Linked DNA regions of Caenorhabditis elegans. The protein of the gene in region 3 purifies or fractionates together with the protein of the main gene of each other region. This does not show direct contact. Each region holds a gene or a part of one and is shown on either strand. Other genes may lie near its edges.

Region 1 (5,285 bases), on a different chromosome or scaffold from region 3:
TTCTTCTAAGTAGACATGTGCATGAAGTCAGTGGTGCAGTGAGCCCGAAAGATCCTGATCGCCAATGTTATATATTCGAGGCCGAACAAGGAGGCGAAGACGAGTAGTTTATTATTACATAACTAAGGAATAAATAGAAAGTTAGTATACATAGATAATGAGTTCACGTTACACGATCTTCATATCCACGTTAAGGGTAAGGTACACGTAGATACCCAACATTTTTTATTAGCTTTGATGCTTTTGGAGATATTTAAGTTTTAAAATTGATAAAAATCAGGTAACCTGTCCCTACTTAGAGCTATCATAACTATGCTCAAAGTTGAGCTACAAAAAATTTGTAAATTAACAACTTATAGAACAATTTGCGTAGATTATTTTGTTAATTGACAATCTTTTGCTAACTTTTGTAGATTTACAGATATTCAGATTTTAAAATATACCACCTTCGTTGAGCCGGTAACTAGCAAAATATAGAAAAATTTAGGAACATTTTTAGTACCAAAAAAACATTTTATTAAAATCCACGCAACAAATTTCAGATTATCAAAAACACGACAACAAGACATAATTGAAAAAAAAAATTAGCAAATTGAAAAATCAGTCCTCCAATGGTAAAGCGCTTCCAATTGGCATCACTTCGAAGACCAGGCACCAACTGACATGTGGCATAAACTCCAAAGGGTCCAAGTTTTCAGTTCTCTTCTTACCGTAGACATTAAGCTCGGATTCATAGGTCAGCGGGATGTTGAAGCAGTGAGGGAATTCGGTGCAGCTGGAAAAAAAGGAAAATTTGGGAAGAGTCCAACTTTGGAAGTTTATAAACTAGTATGTACATTAGATAATTTTAGAATATTTAATAAAAAATTATAGTGAAAGTAATATTTATTATTTTGCCAGTAAACAATTTTCCATCAAGATATAAGCCTCCATAGTTGAGGTGTAATGCTAAACTTCAAAAAAAAATTTTTGCATAAAATCGAACCTGCGCGCCGCAGAACAGGTTCTGCCACAGAAAAATTTGAAATTGTAAGTCAGAATTTTTGCAACGCATTTGCAACACGAAAGTTTTTGTAAAAGTTGTTAGAAATTTGAGTTTTAGTTTTTGGATAATTTTGCAAAAAAAAAACAACTAATTTCGAAAGAGCATAACTCAAAAACCCAACTACTTTCATAAAATTGCTCAACTGCAAAACCGTTGCAAATAATAGCATCTACAATCTTGTAGTTGACAACTTTCCACTAGCTCTACCAGGAGAAAAGTTACAGCGGCCGACACTTCACGGGCTTTTGAAAAGTTCGAAAAAGCACAAGTGAGGTAGTTTGTATCTATTTAAAGAGCCTCAAACTCAAATTTCGATGTATTACATATCAGTGCAATGTTCAAATAAAAACTAAATGAAGATTTTTTGTCGACTTTTCCCTAAAAACATGGTGCATCGGAGCTCCAAATTTCCAGCTGGTGCATCGATGCATCCTGAATTTTGCGAACTTACTCTACTCCCTCCATCCTCTTGCTCACAACCATCGGATGATCCCCGAGCAAGTTCAATGTGGATTGGGTGGCGTGATACTGCTTAACACCAAACGTAAAGCAGGTCCCAATACTCTTCGGTGTCTCGATCCAATTATCAATCAGCTGCACATAGTCATGATGGAACAGTGGACTATGAAGCATGTAGACATTCTTCTGTGGAAGCTTCAGTAGGAAAGGGATCCAGGCAAAGTTCTCCCCAAACATTTTCTCAGTTCCGATAACCAGACGCTGGGTGGCATGGATAACTGGGTGGTCGTGCTCTAGAGGCATATGCAAGCTCTTGAAAGGCAGAGTGCTCTCGTGGAAAATACTGTTCAGACCATCCCAAAGCAGTCCGAACTCCGTACCAAATCTCATATTGGAAACTTTCACTTTAAAATTCTCGGGGAGTCGGTAGACCCCACCTGCATCACCAAGCTCCAGGGTCTTTATCACAATTGGGTGAGCTCTTTTTCCGAACAACTTCTCTGTGATATACTTCATCGCATCATACATTTTCTTGTTATAATCCAGATACTCAATGATCCCATGGAAAGTCTCCCTGTCCCGCCTGAAGTCTAAGTTCATCCTTTGGAATCTGATGCCAAATCTGTATGGAGCTGGTTCATTTTCCTCTCGCCAGCTGTATGGATTCGTGTATGCTTCGAGTTGGTCGGTGACTGCTGGATCTATGTCTGGCTCGTCTTCGGATTCAGATGCTTCGGATTCTGAAGATGAATAGCGTGCTCTTGGGAGGTAAGCGTCGCCGAGGATACGCCGGATCTGAGCTTCCTGGGGGTCATCGTCTTCATCATCTGATCCTTCTGCTGGAAGATCTTCTGCTTCATCCTCATCATCTTCGGAAGAGCTTTCAGGGTCTGAAAAATATATTTTTGAGATTTTCCGAAACAAAAATTGGCCGCCGAAACACTTTAAGCTATCATATTTCAGCTAGAAATCAAGCTATCACAAATTTGTCAACTGAGATAGTGCTCTAAATTTTCTTAAACAGCAGCCGACATATCACTGGACTCCTTATCACCTACCTTCCCTCTGCTGCACCTGCATCCGCCCCTGTGGTCTTATAAAATCCCGCATTGCAAATTGCAACATCTCCATTGTCATATCCTCCATATTATTAATTTTTTCCTTGCTTTCAACTTTCAAATCTCCAGGGCTCAAAACCTCATTGCAGCGGGGATCCTTAAGCCCATACTGATCCATATCATAGGCAGCACCTCCATCTAAGTTCACATTGTTGATATATGGACTATAGTAGACATGGTCTTTCGGTAGGTGGCGGAGCAGTCCTAACGTGTACCTATGTCGGTTGATTCGGATGACACGGGGATTCATGTAGAGCTTGTAGATGTGGAGGGGAGCAGCTTTGTCGGCTGCTTTTAGGGAGTCACATCGTTCCACTAATTTAAATCTGGAATATTTTAAGTAGGTTGATAGGTGTTTAAAAGTAAAAATAATATTGGTAGCTGCCCCACTTCTAGGAACGGCTCAAAATTTGAGCAAAACATGGTTCATCGACAGAAAATTGCTTAAGTTATTATACTTCTACCGAAGCCCGTTTTAATAAATTTTTACACAAAGAAAATTGAATTTTGAGCTGTTAAAGTTGAGGAAAACATGATGCATCGACTGTAAATTTATCAACTTTTGCTCTGAAAAAGTAACCTACTAAAATATATTCCAAACTCTTTTTAAACTTTAATAGCTTTTCAAAAACTTTTTTCAGCTCTACAATCAGAATTCCAAAAAAAAATAAAAGCATACCTCCTATTAGCTTCAAAGAACTGTAGTACACATTTCTGGCACTCATATGGGAGTGGTGTTAAGCTCATATGTAGGTATTTATTACCTGTAAAAAAGTGGGAAATTGGTGCGAAAAGTGAGAAAAACGTTGAAAGAAACGAGAAAATTGTGAAAAACTGACAAAAAATGACTATGATCTAGTAAACAAATTTCCAAAAAGTAGTAAAGCTGCATTCGAAAGTAGTAAAATATTGCCAGAGTGTAGCCAAAAATAGCAAAATTTCAACGAAAATATAAAAAAATAGTCGAAAAATAGCTAGAAATAGTCCAAAAATTGTCAGAAATCGGACAAAACAGCCAAAAAATAGTTCAAAACTTGTGGAAAATACCCAATAATTGTCCGTCTTCCCCCTATTACATACCCCCGTTGGAGAGGCAATAGGGACCATTAGACTACCCTAAATAACTAGGTGACCTCTGTCCATCTGTCGCAGACGGGGCGGGAATGTTTATCTCTGTTGACCTTGAGCATCGGTCCTCTATAGAGAGCCTACACGTACCCGGACTACTTGATGTGAATGGAGAATTAGAATAAAAGAGATTCTATAGATTTTTTTTGTGAAAAATTAGTTCAAAAGCTCATAACTCCGCTGAAAATTGAGCTATTGAAAAGTTGTCAACTACAAAAATATTTCAAATTAATTTTCAAACATTTTGTTGGTGGAAAACTTTTTGCTAGCTCAACTTTCAGCTGAGTTATGATATTTTTAAGTTGGTATTTGAAAAATTTTCATGTGAAAAATCAATTGAGGCTTCTATTTGACAAACTATTTTAGGGTAGAGGGGGGCAAGAATCATGCTGGTTTGGACCAAATCTGACCTTGATACTAATATGTTGTTTACAACATTTGCCGTGTTTGCAAAAAAAAAACAGGCAGAAAATTAACTTTACGCTGGAAAATTGGTAGATATTGGGTCGCCAAAAATGCGAAAAAAAGAATGAAAATTGATCTTCAGTGCCCTTTTATTCGGGTTTATCATGGTGCATTAGCACAGGCTTCCATTTCAAAATTGGCCACATCCATTGAGATGTCGGATGCTGACTTTAATATCAACTTTGTTTGCAGCCGACACTTTCCCGGTTCCTTTCAAAATGTCGAAACAGTAGAAGACATCTCACAAGATTTTTCAAGCTTGTATTAACAAAAAATCAACCAAGAACCGCAGCCGACATTTCCGGGCTTTCAAGTGTTCCTATATTAAATCCGTAAATTGCACACTTGACAGAAATAAAAAATAAGGGCACGTTTTCGACATGAGGTGTCCCGAGAAATGTGACTGCACTTTGAGAACTTATATCTTAGCTTAGGATTGGCGTTTTTTTTTGAGCAATTTGTTTCAATAGCTCCAATCATATTGAGGACCGCACTTTTTGAACATTATGGCCACTTTTAACCTCAGCAGGACAGGCCAAATGCTATTTCATTTCACTCAAATCCAAAAATCAGGGATAAGGGCTGCCTGCTTACTCTTAGAAACTTTAGGCTTTTTCTATCCCTACTTCCAGCAGAGCAGGCTGGAGGACTTTTATGAGACTACGTCTGTATTTGAAAAGATCAGTTAATTCGGATTGAGGGCTGCAGGCCCAAATACACATAGAAGTATTGGACAATCTTTAAGCCTACTCTGAGCCCAATAATCCAGGTTGAGGGCCGCAGGCCCGAATACACGGATAGAAAAGACCCAGAAATAATATTATCTCAAATGACCATGGCTCAATCAGTTTTCATTCAAAATGATCAAAATTTTCCCGAGTTTTCCAACTTAAACTACTGCGAAGCCTAGCGCGCTTGACGCGCTAGTCAACAGCGTGGAAAATGCGTCTATCGGTCATTGAGACATGGAACTAGTACGGAAATTCAAAAAAAAATTAATTAAAAATTTAAAAGAACACGTTTCCACGTTTTAACAGTATAAAAGAGAGAAATATTCGAATATTTGATCT
Region 2 (6,501 bases), on a different chromosome or scaffold from region 3:
AGGATATAGTACACAAATACATACTGCTTCAGAATGTTCAACCATTTAAGGATACATTTGATTCAAGTAATTTTAATAATTAATTTTTTTGTTTGTATGTAATTTATACAAATCAGAAAATGTTGGTCGTTTACAGATTGAGTCATCTTATTGTTTTTAATCATTGATCTTCGTGACAAAAATGCCGCTCGTTTCCCAAAAATCTATTCCCTTTTTGGAATACGCCATCAAGGCGGATTTTCAATCTTGAAGTATCATTTCCTGAAGTTTTGATATAAGAATAAAATATTATAATTGTAAACTTTATTGATTACAAATCGATTTTGAAGTTGATATTCTTGTTTAACATTTTAATCCTGAAAACACATTAACAAGAAACGTGCTTCATTTGCGCTAAAGTTTTTATCTTTGAAAAAGTCAATGGACTAACATTTTTAGCTACCTGCTTTTAACTACTATTAAGCTTAAGCGATTCGAAAAATTACGGTCTTCACGTCTGTCACTGTGAAACTCTTTTTCTCCTATTTGTAATGTTCTTCACCTAATAAACTGGTGGTTGTATCGATTTGTTGTTCGTCTTCCTTTCCAATACGAATCTGATTGTTATTGTTCAAAAAAGGAACATTTTTATTTCCTCTCGGCTGACTCCGTGCACACTGTCTATTCCTCCCTATTCACAAGCATTAAAACATTCTTTGTTCGTGTCCACCGTTGTCTATTTTTTTTGCCTTCTGCTAAAAGCTCTTTCAGATGCATGAATCTATGAATTTAGGTGTCTCGATTTGGTGCGAGACCCTATTCTCACAGTTGAAGACATTTTCCGCCTTTTTTTATGGGGCCCATGCCTCTCTCAAATATCATTTGTTTATTCCATTTTGCGTATTACCGCTATTCAGCCACACGAACCCTCTAGTGCATTCGTTGCTCATTTTTCGAGTGAGACTAATGGACTACTACTAGATGAATAGGAAAATGAAAATGGAAGAATCCTGAGCTCTCTTACATGAAGAATGACAACGTATAAAAAAGTCAAAGGAAAGGAAAGGTGCTCAAGCTAGATGAGAAGAATAAAAGGAGGTCACAAGGGGTGGGCACTCGGTAAATCTCAAATCTGGTGGGAATGGATGGTAAAATCACAAGAATGAAACGACGTTCCGCTCTTGAGCCCATCGTGAGAAACAACACTGGATGGGTTAAATGTGGAGTCCGGTCTTAGCTCCCAAGTTTGTTGCACATTTTTTCCTTCCCTTCCTTTCCATCCTCTTATTCGCATTTTTCTTGTTTCCGACATAGTCTACACCTCAATATATTCTATTGTTTTCGACTTTCTTAATTAGTTCTCCACCCAATTCCCCTTGGGACAAGGCGGAGCACATCACTCTGCTACAAGAAGATGCTCGGCCATGAAAAATGAATATTGCACCTTCTTCCTCCTTCTACTTTTTTATTTTTTGACTCATTTTCCGGTTATATTCCTTGCCACATTTTTCCATTTATCGATAATCCATTATCACAGTTTAGTTACCTTGTTAGTTTCGCGAGGGATTTGAAAACAAATCTCTTGGCTCTGTTTTTGCTCTTATTTTTCAATGGGAATGCTAATCCGATTCACAGCGTTTTTCCAGGAACATTTGCATTCTTCTCACATTTAAACAAGTCCTGGAACACCACAGTGGTGTTAGTACACAATTCAAGCTGAAACGATCACAGGACCTCATCTCCGTACACGAAGCCGAATATGGTTCGGCTCAGCAGGCGAAGGTAGGTGACTTTTTAGAAATTGAAAGCAATTCGTTGGTACTAAAACCGAGGGCAGTACAAGAACATTAGCATGTGCTTGTAATAAGCCATGTAATTGTTATTCCCTTTTTTTGCTCATAATAGGTAATGCAAATTTGCAATAGATTTTTTAATTGCCACATTCCCGTCAGTAATTTTCCTGGCAAAGAAAAGGAACACAATCTGATCAATCATAAAAAAGAAAGGTGGTTTACAATTCTAAATAAATACAAATGGATAATGCATCTGGTTTCTGTAGAAATAGTGACGTGAACGTTGTTAAGTATGTTCAACAATTGATTTTCTCAAGTTGTCAGAAATATTTAAGTTGTTGCTTTTCCAAATGTTAAGCAGAGAAAAAACAACACTTTTAGTTAAAACAAGCTTCCCAAAACTAAGTTTTATTACATATTGTCTGAATTCACAGGTTAACTGATATGTTTCGAACGATTTTTTAGAAGCAATCACGTGCAATTTTGAGATTATTCTTTCTAGATTAGTCTTTCATATTGATTCTTTCTGAAAAATTGAACTTTGTCAAAACACAGAAATGTTTAAAACAGTCCTTGCAGAAAGCACTCATGTGCTTACCAACTGCGACTCCTCAGACATCCTTGCTTTACTCTCAACAAATGCCTATGAAAAACCTATACTCGCAGTTCCCGGCAGGTTTATTAGACGTAGGTTGATCGGATATTGTGCAACTCAATAATTCATATACCTGTGTTCAGACACAGTCGATTCAATCCTTGGACACATGTCCTCTGCTTCTCCAGACCGCCAGCCTTCCTTCTTTGTCACACATCGGTCTTCCACACTCTTTGGTTTGTTCATTTGCCCATTTCCGCTTATTTCGCACCCTTCTTTCCCCCTTTAGTTACCCTTTCCTCTCGCGCCAATCTTTTTGTCCGATCGAAATACATTCAACTAGTACGGATTCTCATTTGGCAAATGCAATTGTGTTGCAGGAATCAGCCGTGTTGCACTCAGCCTCGGAGCCGCCGATGGAGATGCGAATTGATACAAGCAGTGAGTGTAGATTTGCAGATTTGGATGAAAAGTGTGAAAAATGAATTTGTTTGAATCAAAGATCCTATCAATCTTTATTTTTCAATTACTTTTCTGGCGCCGTATTGGTGTCAGGTCATAAGTCAAAATAGCTGTGAAAAAATATGAGACCAAAAAAAGAAGATAAAGATAAGTCATTTGATTGACCTTATCAATCACACAGACGGATTCACTTTTTTTTTTCAAAACCGTTCTGGGTGTTATTGTATTCTTTGGTTGTTCTTATCACCCTTATCAGACAATTCGAGGTTGTTTAGCCTCATAGCTGCTAACCGTTTTTCTTGAAAGTCACACGTTTTTTATCGTTTTTTATGTTCCGTGGTCAAGAATTGGAAAATATGAAACTGACGACCAAGATGAGATGAAATGAAACCATGCGTGCCAGCACTAAAAAAGAAGAAGATTAGCAATGCAATATCATTTCTTTGCTTCTTTTCAGAGCATTTTCATGTTTTTGTCGGGGATTTGAGCAAGGACGTGAGCAATGAGCTTTTAAAATCAACGTTTACAAAATTCGGAGAAGTCAGGTAAATTTGAGGATAAAATACTTAATTTTGCTTGAACACGTTAACACTATACAAAAGAGTTCGAATCAAAAAACAAACAACACCCTCGTCATTTGGATTTAAAAAAACTTACATAACTTATTTTTTTGAGTAACTAGCAATTTTCCATAAAAATTTTTAAAAGAGTATATCGAAACCGTACTTGGCAAAAAAATATCATCATTCCCAAACCGAAATTTAATAAATTTTATGACAAAATATTGAGCAAAACTGAAAGCAATATTCTCCAACCATTGTTAGATTTTTTACCCAATCTTGACATTTATACCGCGGAAGTATTTTTTTCAGTGAAGCTAAAGTGATTCGAGATGTTCAGACTCAGAAATCAAAAGGATACGGATTTGTGTCATTTCCCAACAAACAAGTTAGTTTCTCTCTGTTTTTTTTACGAAGCCCATTGGTCCTATTTATTTTCGTCGAGAAAACTGAGCCTTGTTTTTAGAATGCAGAGAACGCGATAGCCGGAATGAACGGAAAATGGATTGGGAAACGAGCTGTGCGGACCAACTGGGCGGCACGAAAAAACAGCGAGGAGAATCGCGACAAGCTGACTTTTGAACAGGTGAGATGTTGTAACGTTAAATCTCAATAAAACATGACAGCTCCAGGTGTTCAACTCAACGAAAGCCGATAACACGTCAGTTTATGTTGGGAACATAAGTCAACAGACTACAGGTTAGTTATAGGTAGACAGTGTACTTCATATCAGTCATTAAAAAGGAAATAAATAGAGTTTAAGTTTTTGAAATAAAGAAAACAATCTTTAGAATTACATCTATAGTTTCTTCTGAAATTTAAAGAATTGGGAAATTTGCATTAATAGAGAGACCGTATACTGCTCCGGTAACCAATGGTGAAAGTTGTAGTAGCGCTAGTGGGTAAATTGCTAAAAACCAGTTCCATGGGGACTAAATGGCCAAATATTATGGCCAAAAAAATAGTAAAACTTTCCAAAAATTGTTTTGAAAATTTTTTATTGGCAGTTCGCGATCGCTTTAAGTCACTTTTATAGAAAACTACGCACTTTTATAGAAAACTACGCAATCAAACGAAAAAAGTAATTTTACAAATTAAAAAAAATACTTTTACTGAAATATTTCGTCATTGTGGTTCCATATGCATGTTTCAAAGCAATTTCCCCATTGGCTCTACTCCGCAGTGAAACATCGAAGTTTATAATTGTTATAAATTTTATTTGACAAATAATATTGGAAACTTAATTGAAACGTTTATTTTTTTTAGAATTTTTCCAAATCATACTAATATTTTTGATATAGGTTTTCCGTGAAATTTAATTTTTTAAAGTAAACTAGTGTTATTGAGCATTTGGATAATACAAACTGATTTTTAAGAAGTAAGTTGACAGGCGTTGTAATTTTAATTTTGCTAATTTCGCAATGCACATCTATGATACATCTTTGAACAAATTAATAGCAATAGTTTTAAAAAGTTAATGCTCTATCTGATACATTTTACTTGTACTGGTTAAAATGGTATTTTTGCAGGCATTTTTTAATGTTTACAATCAAATTAAGACACTGTAGTTGTTGACAAAACATAAAACCATTAAAAGATCATTTCAATTTCTCGAATGGCCTTATTCGGTAACTTTCCCATAGTTTATTAACAGAGTAAACCAGTTCCATGTCTTTATCTCATTAACAAACTTTCTAACGGATATGAGGCTATCATCATTTTTCCTCATCACATCCTACTGCTTGACACTTCCGCCTGGTAGACAGTGAGAACGTCCCATGAAATTTGATAAATGACTTTCTGCCTTTTATCCTATCACTGCCATATGTTATATCTATGTACATATTTTTATAGACGCTGATCTCCGCGATTTATTCTCAACATATGGTGATATAGCGGAAGTGCGTATTTTCAAAACCCAAAGGTACGCGTTCGTCAGATATGAGAAAAAAGAGTGTGCCACAAAAGCAATAATGGAGATGAATGGAAAGGAGATGGCTGGAAATCAAGTCAGATGTTCCTGGGGAAGAACTCAGGCAGTGGTAATAAATAATCAGTTATCAAATGCTTTGAAAATCACAGTATTTAATTTGCAGCCTAATCAAGCATTAAATCCTCTCCCAATTGATTTGTCATCCTTGATGATGCCTACAATGCTTCCAACTACAATCCCACTAATTCAAAATCCCTTCTTGAACTACGAGCCAGCCACTCTTTTGTACAGTTCCTTCCCACAATGGTGATTAATTTATTAAGACTCTTTAGGAAGAAAATGAAACGCAAAAGGAATAATGAGTCAGAACACGGTTACTTTTTCAAATTTCAAAATATTTAAATTTCCGCTTTTTTGTGAGTGATTCAATGTTTTTTTTTCTTTTTTCGAGTTTCCGGTGTTTCATTTTCCATCACAGTTTTCTTCCTACAAATAGAGGTCCGAGTACATTTTTTCTTGTTCATTTTTAACTTTTCTTCCCGTCTGATGTTTCCTGAGTGGTTCTTTTTACTTCTTTTCTGTCATTTTCCTGCTATTCATATTTTCACATTTTTCACAGAATGATAATCATTTTTGTTTGTGCAAAGGGATTTTAATAAATTATTACAATGGGATAATTGAATGAAAGTTCAAAAGCTGTGTATGTGTGGGAAGGATAGAGAAACATAGAGAGAACTAAAGCATTATGCTATTAATGTTTCAAATCATCATGACTAAGAATGTTCACGTAACAATTTATCTGCTTGACAACACTTTTAGATTATTTGCGAAATTTTTTTTTCAGAAAATTTCAATTCCAAATTACTAAGAAAAAGTTTCAAAACTATTGTTCATTTTACACGTGTCTGCACTTTCAAGATGTTTTCCGGTGATCTCATGATTTGAATAATGTGTCCACCTACACTCATTTTTGTTAGGGTCAGCAAAGTGGTATTCCAAAAACCAAAAACCTGATACTTTGCATTGTCGAATAAAATTGAAATTAAATTTTCAAAGTACAATGTCCTTCTAGGGGCCCACCCATTATTTCATGCGTCATAAGAGTCTGTATGTCTGCTACCAACTATCAGATATAAAGTGACTGTATCTTAACTATACAGCATACTGATTTCACAAATC
Region 3 (7,203 bases):
TTTTCTGACCAACCTTGGGCAGGAAGCTGGAGCCAAATGCCGAGTGTATTTGGAACGGTTTGCACTAATTTTACAATTTTCAACAACGATCTGTTCTTGGAAAGGCTTTCAAGTTATTCTTCAAAATTGGAACAACTTTCAGCAGTATATTAAAAATTTACTCCAAATTCCAAAAAAAAAATGCAAGTTTCAAAAATTATTATCGTCAACCACAAACACCCAAATTTGTTAAAATTTCACAGATTCACTCATTCATTTCTGAATATTTTTATAAACAAAAAAATCGGCACTCACCGTTCAAAATTCAATTGAAATTCCGGTTTTAGTTTAGCTGCCAGTAAAAATTTACTCTAAATTCCAAAAAATTATTATCTTCAGCCACACTCTGAAATTGTTTTAGATACTGCAGCTTTTCTGAAAAATGTTCCATCTGCGTGACATGCTTCGTTACAAATCTGAAATAGTTTTATTCTGAATTTCTCAAGTTGTTTTTTGAAAGTTCCATATGATTTAAAGCTCTATTATTAACAATGAATTTATTATCCAGCAATGTTTTCACATTTCAGTTACAATCAATGAATGTTACAAGAATTGACAGCATCAAAATTCAGTTTCAATTAGTAAATGAAGTCATCTTTTTTCAGATAACTGGTACAGGAGTTATGTGTATCTTGCCATTTTTTTCAATTAAAGGCAAATTGTTCCAATCTTTTGGAAAGGTCGTGGTAGTTGCGTCGGAGATGCTCCAAGAGGTTAGTACTGTTAAACTCTTTTCGGAGCCAGGATCTGTTCTGAAATAGTGCAGTTAATTAGGTGGAAGCTTCAGTAGAAGGACTTACGGTACTATATAAGTTCAATTCTCTGGTTTGATTTTGCAGAGTTCTCTGGGTGTTTTGCGCAGATTGTTCCAAATTGGAGACTTTCTTTTTCAACTCAGCTTTTTCTTTTCTGTCGTTGAAAGCTGCCTCTTCCAATTTCTGATTCTTCATCTTTTCATCGTTGAGCTCAGCTTTCAATTTCTTCTGTTTCATTTTCAATTCGATCCTCTTTGCCTTGAGATTCTTCATTTCTTTTTGTGAAGCCTGATCTTCAATCCAAAGTTTGATATATTCGTTTTTAACAAATTCCAAATCTTTTGATGAGTTGATAGTGGTGATCCATAATGAACTTGACACGCTTGAATGTGTGTCGGAGTGGCAACTTGGTGATCTATAATGTCTTCCACGTTTGATAGAATAATTCAGGGGAACTGTGTCTAGTAATATTGATTTAAAATTATCTTTCTTTTTAGTAAAAAATACGATTGTCATGTGATTCGGTAACTCGGCAACTTCCGAAAATTCCGATTGCCCAACATTCACAAAAGCGGCAATTGCCAATATTACCGATTCTCAGAAAGTTTGTAAACCGGCAATTGCTAGAATTGTCGGAAATATAAATTTGTTACTTTTTGTAGAGGAGCCTAAACATGCATTTCAATAAACAATTTTCTATTTTCAAGCTCAAACTTATGCAATTTTTAAAGGATTGAATGTTTCTGTTAGAAAATGACTAACCGAATACAAAAAACAATGTGAATTTTTTTTCAATTTCCGAAATATAATTAGGTTTGAAAAATGCCGAAAATGGATTGGCAATTACGGCAATTTCGGCAATTGCCGGACTTGCCGATTGCCATCCCTAGCTCTGGGGCACCCGTAATATGGCTTTAAATTTTCCCAAACATGCATAACTCACCCTGAGCGGGGGTTCGTGTTGTTTCCAACAGGTGAAGTGTCTCTTAAGCCGTCTGTCGATGATGAATCATGGCTTTGATGCTCCAAGTTGTCGTTTGCTTCCAAGGGAGGAGTTGGGAGCCGACGAGCAGGCCTAAAAGTGGAATTGATATATTGCTTATATTATTTCTCAATAGAATACCTTTCATAATTGGCATCTGGATTCTCACGAACAATGCGGCTTTTTGAAGAGCACGCAGATCTGAAACTTAATACAAATTTCAGACAATTCAACAAACATCTAATTATTTATGCAACCAAAATAGCTTGTTAGTTTAAAGTTTCAATTCTAGAAATATCTTGAGTTATAGATATTTTCTGTTTGGTTTCAGAAACTTTGCATAATAAGAAAACAGTGAGGATGTGCGTAAACTAGGTGCAGGTTTCTGGCAACCTTTGGCATATTTTAGAAACTTCTTAAATTTAGCGGTTCTTTCAAATTTTTTGTAAGAAAAAAGTTTTCATGAATTTGTAAACAGAATAATTTTTGAGACATTGCAAAGGACCGGATTGGTAATTTAAGCGGTTTAAAATAAATTGACAATTATTCCAGAAAGTTGACATAACAGAACAAACACTCAAGTTTCTATACTAACATCGTGCTTGAAGTTTCATCATTATCAGCATTGCTTCTTTCTGGACGCTTATACTCAGCTTCTGGGTCTTCTCGGAAAACGTTTTGCATTTTTGAAGGTGCTGGTTGTGAATTTGGATTTTCTCGTCTAAAACTGGGTTAATACTATCATATTTAAGTTAAGTTGAAAATCCTCACCTTGACTCATTACTTGAAATACGTCTCGCGGGTGCTGAGATTGGAGCAGTGGTTGTCGTTCGATTTTGTTGAATCGACGGTTCAATAGGAACAGGAACCGGATCAACTCGAAGATGGGAATTCTCAAGTGGTGGAACCAAATCCATTTCTTCATTGTCCGAGAAGAATTCACTGCCGCTGGAATAGAATTAAAGTTGGAAAAAAAATAGAAAATGTTGTGTACATAGAGATTGAATTGAATAAAAAGACTCACTGATCCTGATTATTAAAGTTGGGGAGAAAATTGATTCTTGGCCCGGTTTCGATTTTTCTTGACAAGTTTTGAATTTGTGTGACTTGTTTTCGGGATGACCCCTCTCTTGGAAGAGAAGACTGCTTCTTGAGAATTCTTTTTGGAGGATCGAGTGCTTCTTTTTGATCTCTTGTGAGCGTGGGGTTCACGTTGAAACTCGTTTGAAATTGTCCAAGAATCAGCGAGGGCTTCTTGCTGACACCTTCCATTGAAACCTTGACATAGATTAGAACATTTTCAAAATCCGAGAGAACTCCATAATCAGCTGAAATTTAAATTTTCTTCGAAAAATGTGTCTTTTGATGAATATCTTACCTAATCTGTTATCCTTATCGATAACCTTTTCAAAATGATGTGATTGGATGATTCCATCTTTGCGGGAACATTTGATGGCAATCTGAATGAAATTCATAAACGTTTTGCGGTTTATACTTAATAATGAATTAAAAATTTGGGGTTTTTTCAAATGTTCTATTCGTCAAAATTAGTTAAATGATATCATTATATGTACATTGATTCACGCCAAAATGCAGATAGGTTTCAGGCAGGAGTCAGACCCTGAAACTGCGCATATCTACCATGGAAGACCTATTCCATTCTGATATTTATGAATAATATTAAATAGTAAGGTAGGCCTTCCATGTAGGCAGAGAAGCCTGCTTAGACATACAAGCGTGCCTGCTGCCGAAGTGAACCTACAAACACCGGATATCACTCCAAAATGCGGAAAATAGGCGCAAAGCAGGCTCATAGAAAACATGCCTAGGAGTATACAGAAAAAAATTAATTCAGAAAATCCAAAAAGCCATGATACGAGAGGGGTTTACTTGGATATTTTCTTAAATACTACAAACTTTAAACAGAACAAAGAACAGACTTTGAGCTTATAAAAATAACTTTAGGAATACATATACCCTTTTTCGTGTTTCCACATCATGTACAGTATCAGATTAAGCCCCGCCCACTTACTGGCTTTTTGCATCACTTTTTCTTACTAAATTTTTCAATAGTTTTTTATCTTTTTGTTCTCAATGGCTTTAGCTTTCAAAAGATTTAGATTTGGAAAAATCATTATCGGATAAAGCTTAATTAAATTTTTTGTCAATATTATTCACTCACTTCTCTATTCCTGTTGGTATCTAATAGATCCTTTTCCAGGAATTGAAATCCTTCCGATTTCTTCACAGAAGCTGTCGCCGTACAGGCTAAGAACTTGACCCATGTGCCTTCTTCTGATCGGCTGAAGTTACTGAAATATTGATGATTGGTAGAGATCCCAAAAGTCTGCACAACTAACGTTTCCTTCGATATTACAAACGGTTCAGGATATCCTGGAACATAGACATATGCATCACTGAAATCAGTGTAGTAAATCTGGCCAATTAATGAATACGTCTTCTCTTTCTGAAACAATTAAGTTGTTATAATGTTATAAGATATAAGATTTCCTAATAAAACATAAAAAACCAGATATTTGATCGAGGTGCCACGAGGGCGTATCTTCAATCACCCTCTTCGCACCCTATCGGTCATGGTTAATGTATAATAAAACACACTCCAAAAAGTATTAGATTTTTCAAAATTTTTTATCAAAATTTTTGTTATTGTTGTAGGTTTAAACACAGAGAATTTAAATACAAACCTTTAAAACGCAATTAAAATTTTAAACTCGTAATAAAATATTTGTATGGTTGAATTTCAAATTTTTGAGTGGTGAAAACTAAAGTAAGTTCTCAAACATTTTGACTTACCAAAAAATAATTTTCAAAAACTTTTTTTAAATTTTAGCCCTATGTAGTAGTGGTTTTGAATAATTTAGCCCCTAGCGAAACTAGATTGCGAGAGAGGGTCGGGCTTACATCTTACCTCTTTGGAAAATCTATCAAAAAACTTACGGGTTCTTCGAATTCATCAAGTTCCCACACAATTGAGTTTTTCTGGTGGGTCAGTTTGACTGTAATCTGCCTTCCGAAAAATGCGTTTTTCGGAAGATACTTGAATTTCTCTCCTTCTCGAACTTGCTGAAAATTGAAAGTTTCATAATAACTGACAACCTGGGCATTCTGGAAATTCTTACCGTAATGAAGTCAGTTCTAAAAACTCTTTGCTGAGATTTGGTGAAGTCGTAAAACCCCAAAATCTTCAATCTGAGCCTCAATGATTGATCTTGCTCATACACAACGGATTCAACAATCTGGTTCCGTGGTTTGATGTCAGAGGCACGTTTCAAATTGTTGGCGATGTCCCTGAAAATAAAATATAAAGAAAGTCATTATATTTCAAAAACTTACCAAGTCGTGAAGGAAACCGAATCGCCCAACTTTGTATTTTGGTCTGGATCTGCCACGAATATCTGGGAAAAAATAAGTTTTAAATTTTTTAAAAATAGAAAAAACTCACATCATGACTTGAAGAAATGAGAATATGGGTCTCATCACTTTGCACGACAATTCCAGACTTTTGCGACGACATGACGGTGACACTGAAATAAAAAATGTAATTGTTTTGTTTTTTCGAATTCGTTTATCTGAATTACAGGTGCCAAAAAATGTATACGTTTACTAATTGACAGATTCTCCCATTCTAAGTTTTTTGATATGAAAACGGCGAGAAATGATGGAAACGAAATGATACAGAACATAGCAGAGCTTTACATTTGTGCTTCTGGGTGTAATCTTAAAAACGAGTAGGCATATATTAAGTTAATGATACATGGAAGAAAATAGTTGAAACCCTATTTTGGTGCAATCAACGAAAAAGTCAAATATATAGTTTTTTGGAAAATGGTCCCCAATTCAATTTTTACAGCTTCACATGAACAACCGAAATATAAACCGCTAAAGTTGAGCGAAGAAGGTCAGAACAAACATACCTACGTGCCTGCCTACTAACTATTCGTTCGAATTTTGGCACGCAGATTGATAAAAGGGTGAAGAGCCTCATAAATGTTCTAGGGGGTTTTTATTATACAGTTGGAAGAAGAGAAACAACACAACTGAAAACAACACTCATGTGGAAGTTAGATATGCACAAGGTGTGCCTTTCAGAATTTCGCTGAAAATTTCAAAAAATACTAAGTCAATACAAAAATCCTATTGATTTGTGTCCGGTTAGCATCAAATGTCAAAAACTGCAACTATAATTTTTCAGATATACTCTAAAATAGTTTCAATTCATATTGGCAAGTAAATAGCATTAAACTATTTGAAAAAAGTTTAGCTAGATGTGTGAAAACCGTAGATCAAAACATTTCTATAGTTTTTGAAATGATAACGTAATTTTAAAGTATTTTCGCTTGAGGTCAGATCTTGAAATTTTTCACAAACTTTCATTGAAATTTTAAATTTTTTTAAGTTAAAATTTCTTTCGTAGCGAAGTCGGTATTGAAACCGATATACCTGCCCACTGCAGTGTAGATTCACAAATCAATTAGTTAATTGAAAACTCAAATAACATGTGCGCTTTGTCAGTGAGCGTATGAGGCAGGAATAATTGTTCTTAAAATAGCTTATATTAAATATCATACATGAGTAATAAATTCACTTAATTCTGGCAGAATTGAGCAACAATCGTTTTACAAAAAGTTTGGAAATAAATTCCGAGAAATTGACTTGTTTGAAAAATGGAACACCAGAGGCTTCAAATGCGAAATAAACAAACGAAAGAAAGAGAAATCGCAACACAATTTTTTTCCAGAGCGGGGGGAAACATAAATGTTATAGCTTTCGAAACAGTGGCAGCAACAACCACGTTATGGCTTCGAATTGCCAATATCGTATGTTCTGCTAACAAAAATCGATAAACTTGGAAGAAGAGGTAGAGAGAGAGAGAGATGCGGACAGCAGATGGCAACAAAAGGAGGGCAAGAGGACTATCGGTAATGTCAAGAGGCATAGAGTGTGGAGATAGAGGGGGGCAATAAACAACAGTAAAATGAGTGATCCGCTAATATGTTTGGTTTGTTTTGCTGTACAATGATGAAGATAATGACAACATACTACGTCAAAAGGTTCGCTATAAAACAAAATCATTTAGAACGAAGCTACACCCATATACTGGCTTTTGGGATGGAACCAAAAAATAATTTTGGACCAAAAAACCAAAAATTGAAATTTTTGAAAAACCAAAAATGTTTGTTGCCCGAGTTTATTTTTAATGGGGATGTTGCAAAATGTATTAAAATACACAACTGTAAAAACTGTATAAAATACATGTTTTTATGAATTTTAATTCAGAATAGTCTCGAGTCGAGACTCGACACGGCACTCTGTTTTTTTTTCGGATTTTTTAATTTTTTTGGTCCCAAAAAAAAACTTAAAAGTTTCAGCCCTAAGCCCTACCACCTACTGCATTTGTGTCATAAG

Evidence for each region.
Region 1: the proteins of eri-12 (region 3) and fbxc-51 fractionate together in Caenorhabditis elegans (co-fractionation; one large-scale study listed by BioGRID). This does not show direct contact.
Region 2: the proteins of eri-12 (region 3) and rnp-9 fractionate together in Caenorhabditis elegans (co-fractionation; one large-scale study listed by BioGRID). This does not show direct contact.

What each region holds. Positions count from the first base shown.
Region 1 is NC_003280.10:866,915-872,199, reverse strand, and holds fbxc-51 (F-box C protein), read right to left. Parts: upstream 3,387-5,285; 5' UTR 3,370-3,386; coding exon 3,302-3,369; intron 2,949-3,301; coding exon 2,563-2,948; intron 2,395-2,562; coding exon 1,497-2,394; intron 776-1,496; coding exon 601-775; 3' UTR 501-600; downstream 1-500.
Region 2 is NC_003284.9:10,165,693-10,172,193, forward strand, and holds rnp-9 (RRM domain-containing protein), read left to right. Parts: upstream 1-1,612; 5' UTR 1,613-1,761; intron 1,762-2,351; 5' UTR 2,352-2,360; coding exon 2,361-2,459; intron 2,460-2,510; coding exon 2,511-2,603; intron 2,604-2,747; coding exon 2,748-2,808; intron 2,809-3,286; coding exon 3,287-3,374; intron 3,375-3,701; coding exon 3,702-3,777; intron 3,778-3,855; coding exon 3,856-3,975; intron 3,976-4,021; coding exon 4,022-4,088; intron 4,089-5,243; coding exon 5,244-5,431; intron 5,432-5,485; coding exon 5,486-5,632; 3' UTR 5,633-6,001; downstream 6,002-6,501.
Region 3 is NC_003282.8:12,157,588-12,164,790, reverse strand, and holds eri-12 (Enhanced RNAI (RNA interference)), read right to left. Parts: upstream 5,322-7,203; 5' UTR 5,312-5,321; coding exon 5,240-5,311; intron 5,193-5,239; coding exon 5,131-5,192; intron 5,086-5,130; coding exon 4,917-5,085; intron 4,861-4,916; coding exon 4,735-4,860; intron 4,244-4,734; coding exon 4,137-4,243; intron 4,089-4,136; coding exon 3,959-4,088; intron 3,237-3,958; coding exon 3,155-3,236; intron 3,105-3,154; coding exon 2,801-3,104; intron 2,725-2,800; coding exon 2,548-2,724; intron 2,498-2,547; coding exon 2,372-2,497; intron 1,978-2,371; coding exon 1,918-1,977; intron 1,870-1,917; coding exon 1,738-1,869; intron 1,210-1,737; coding exon 840-1,209; intron 792-839; coding exon 684-791; 3' UTR 522-683; downstream 1-521.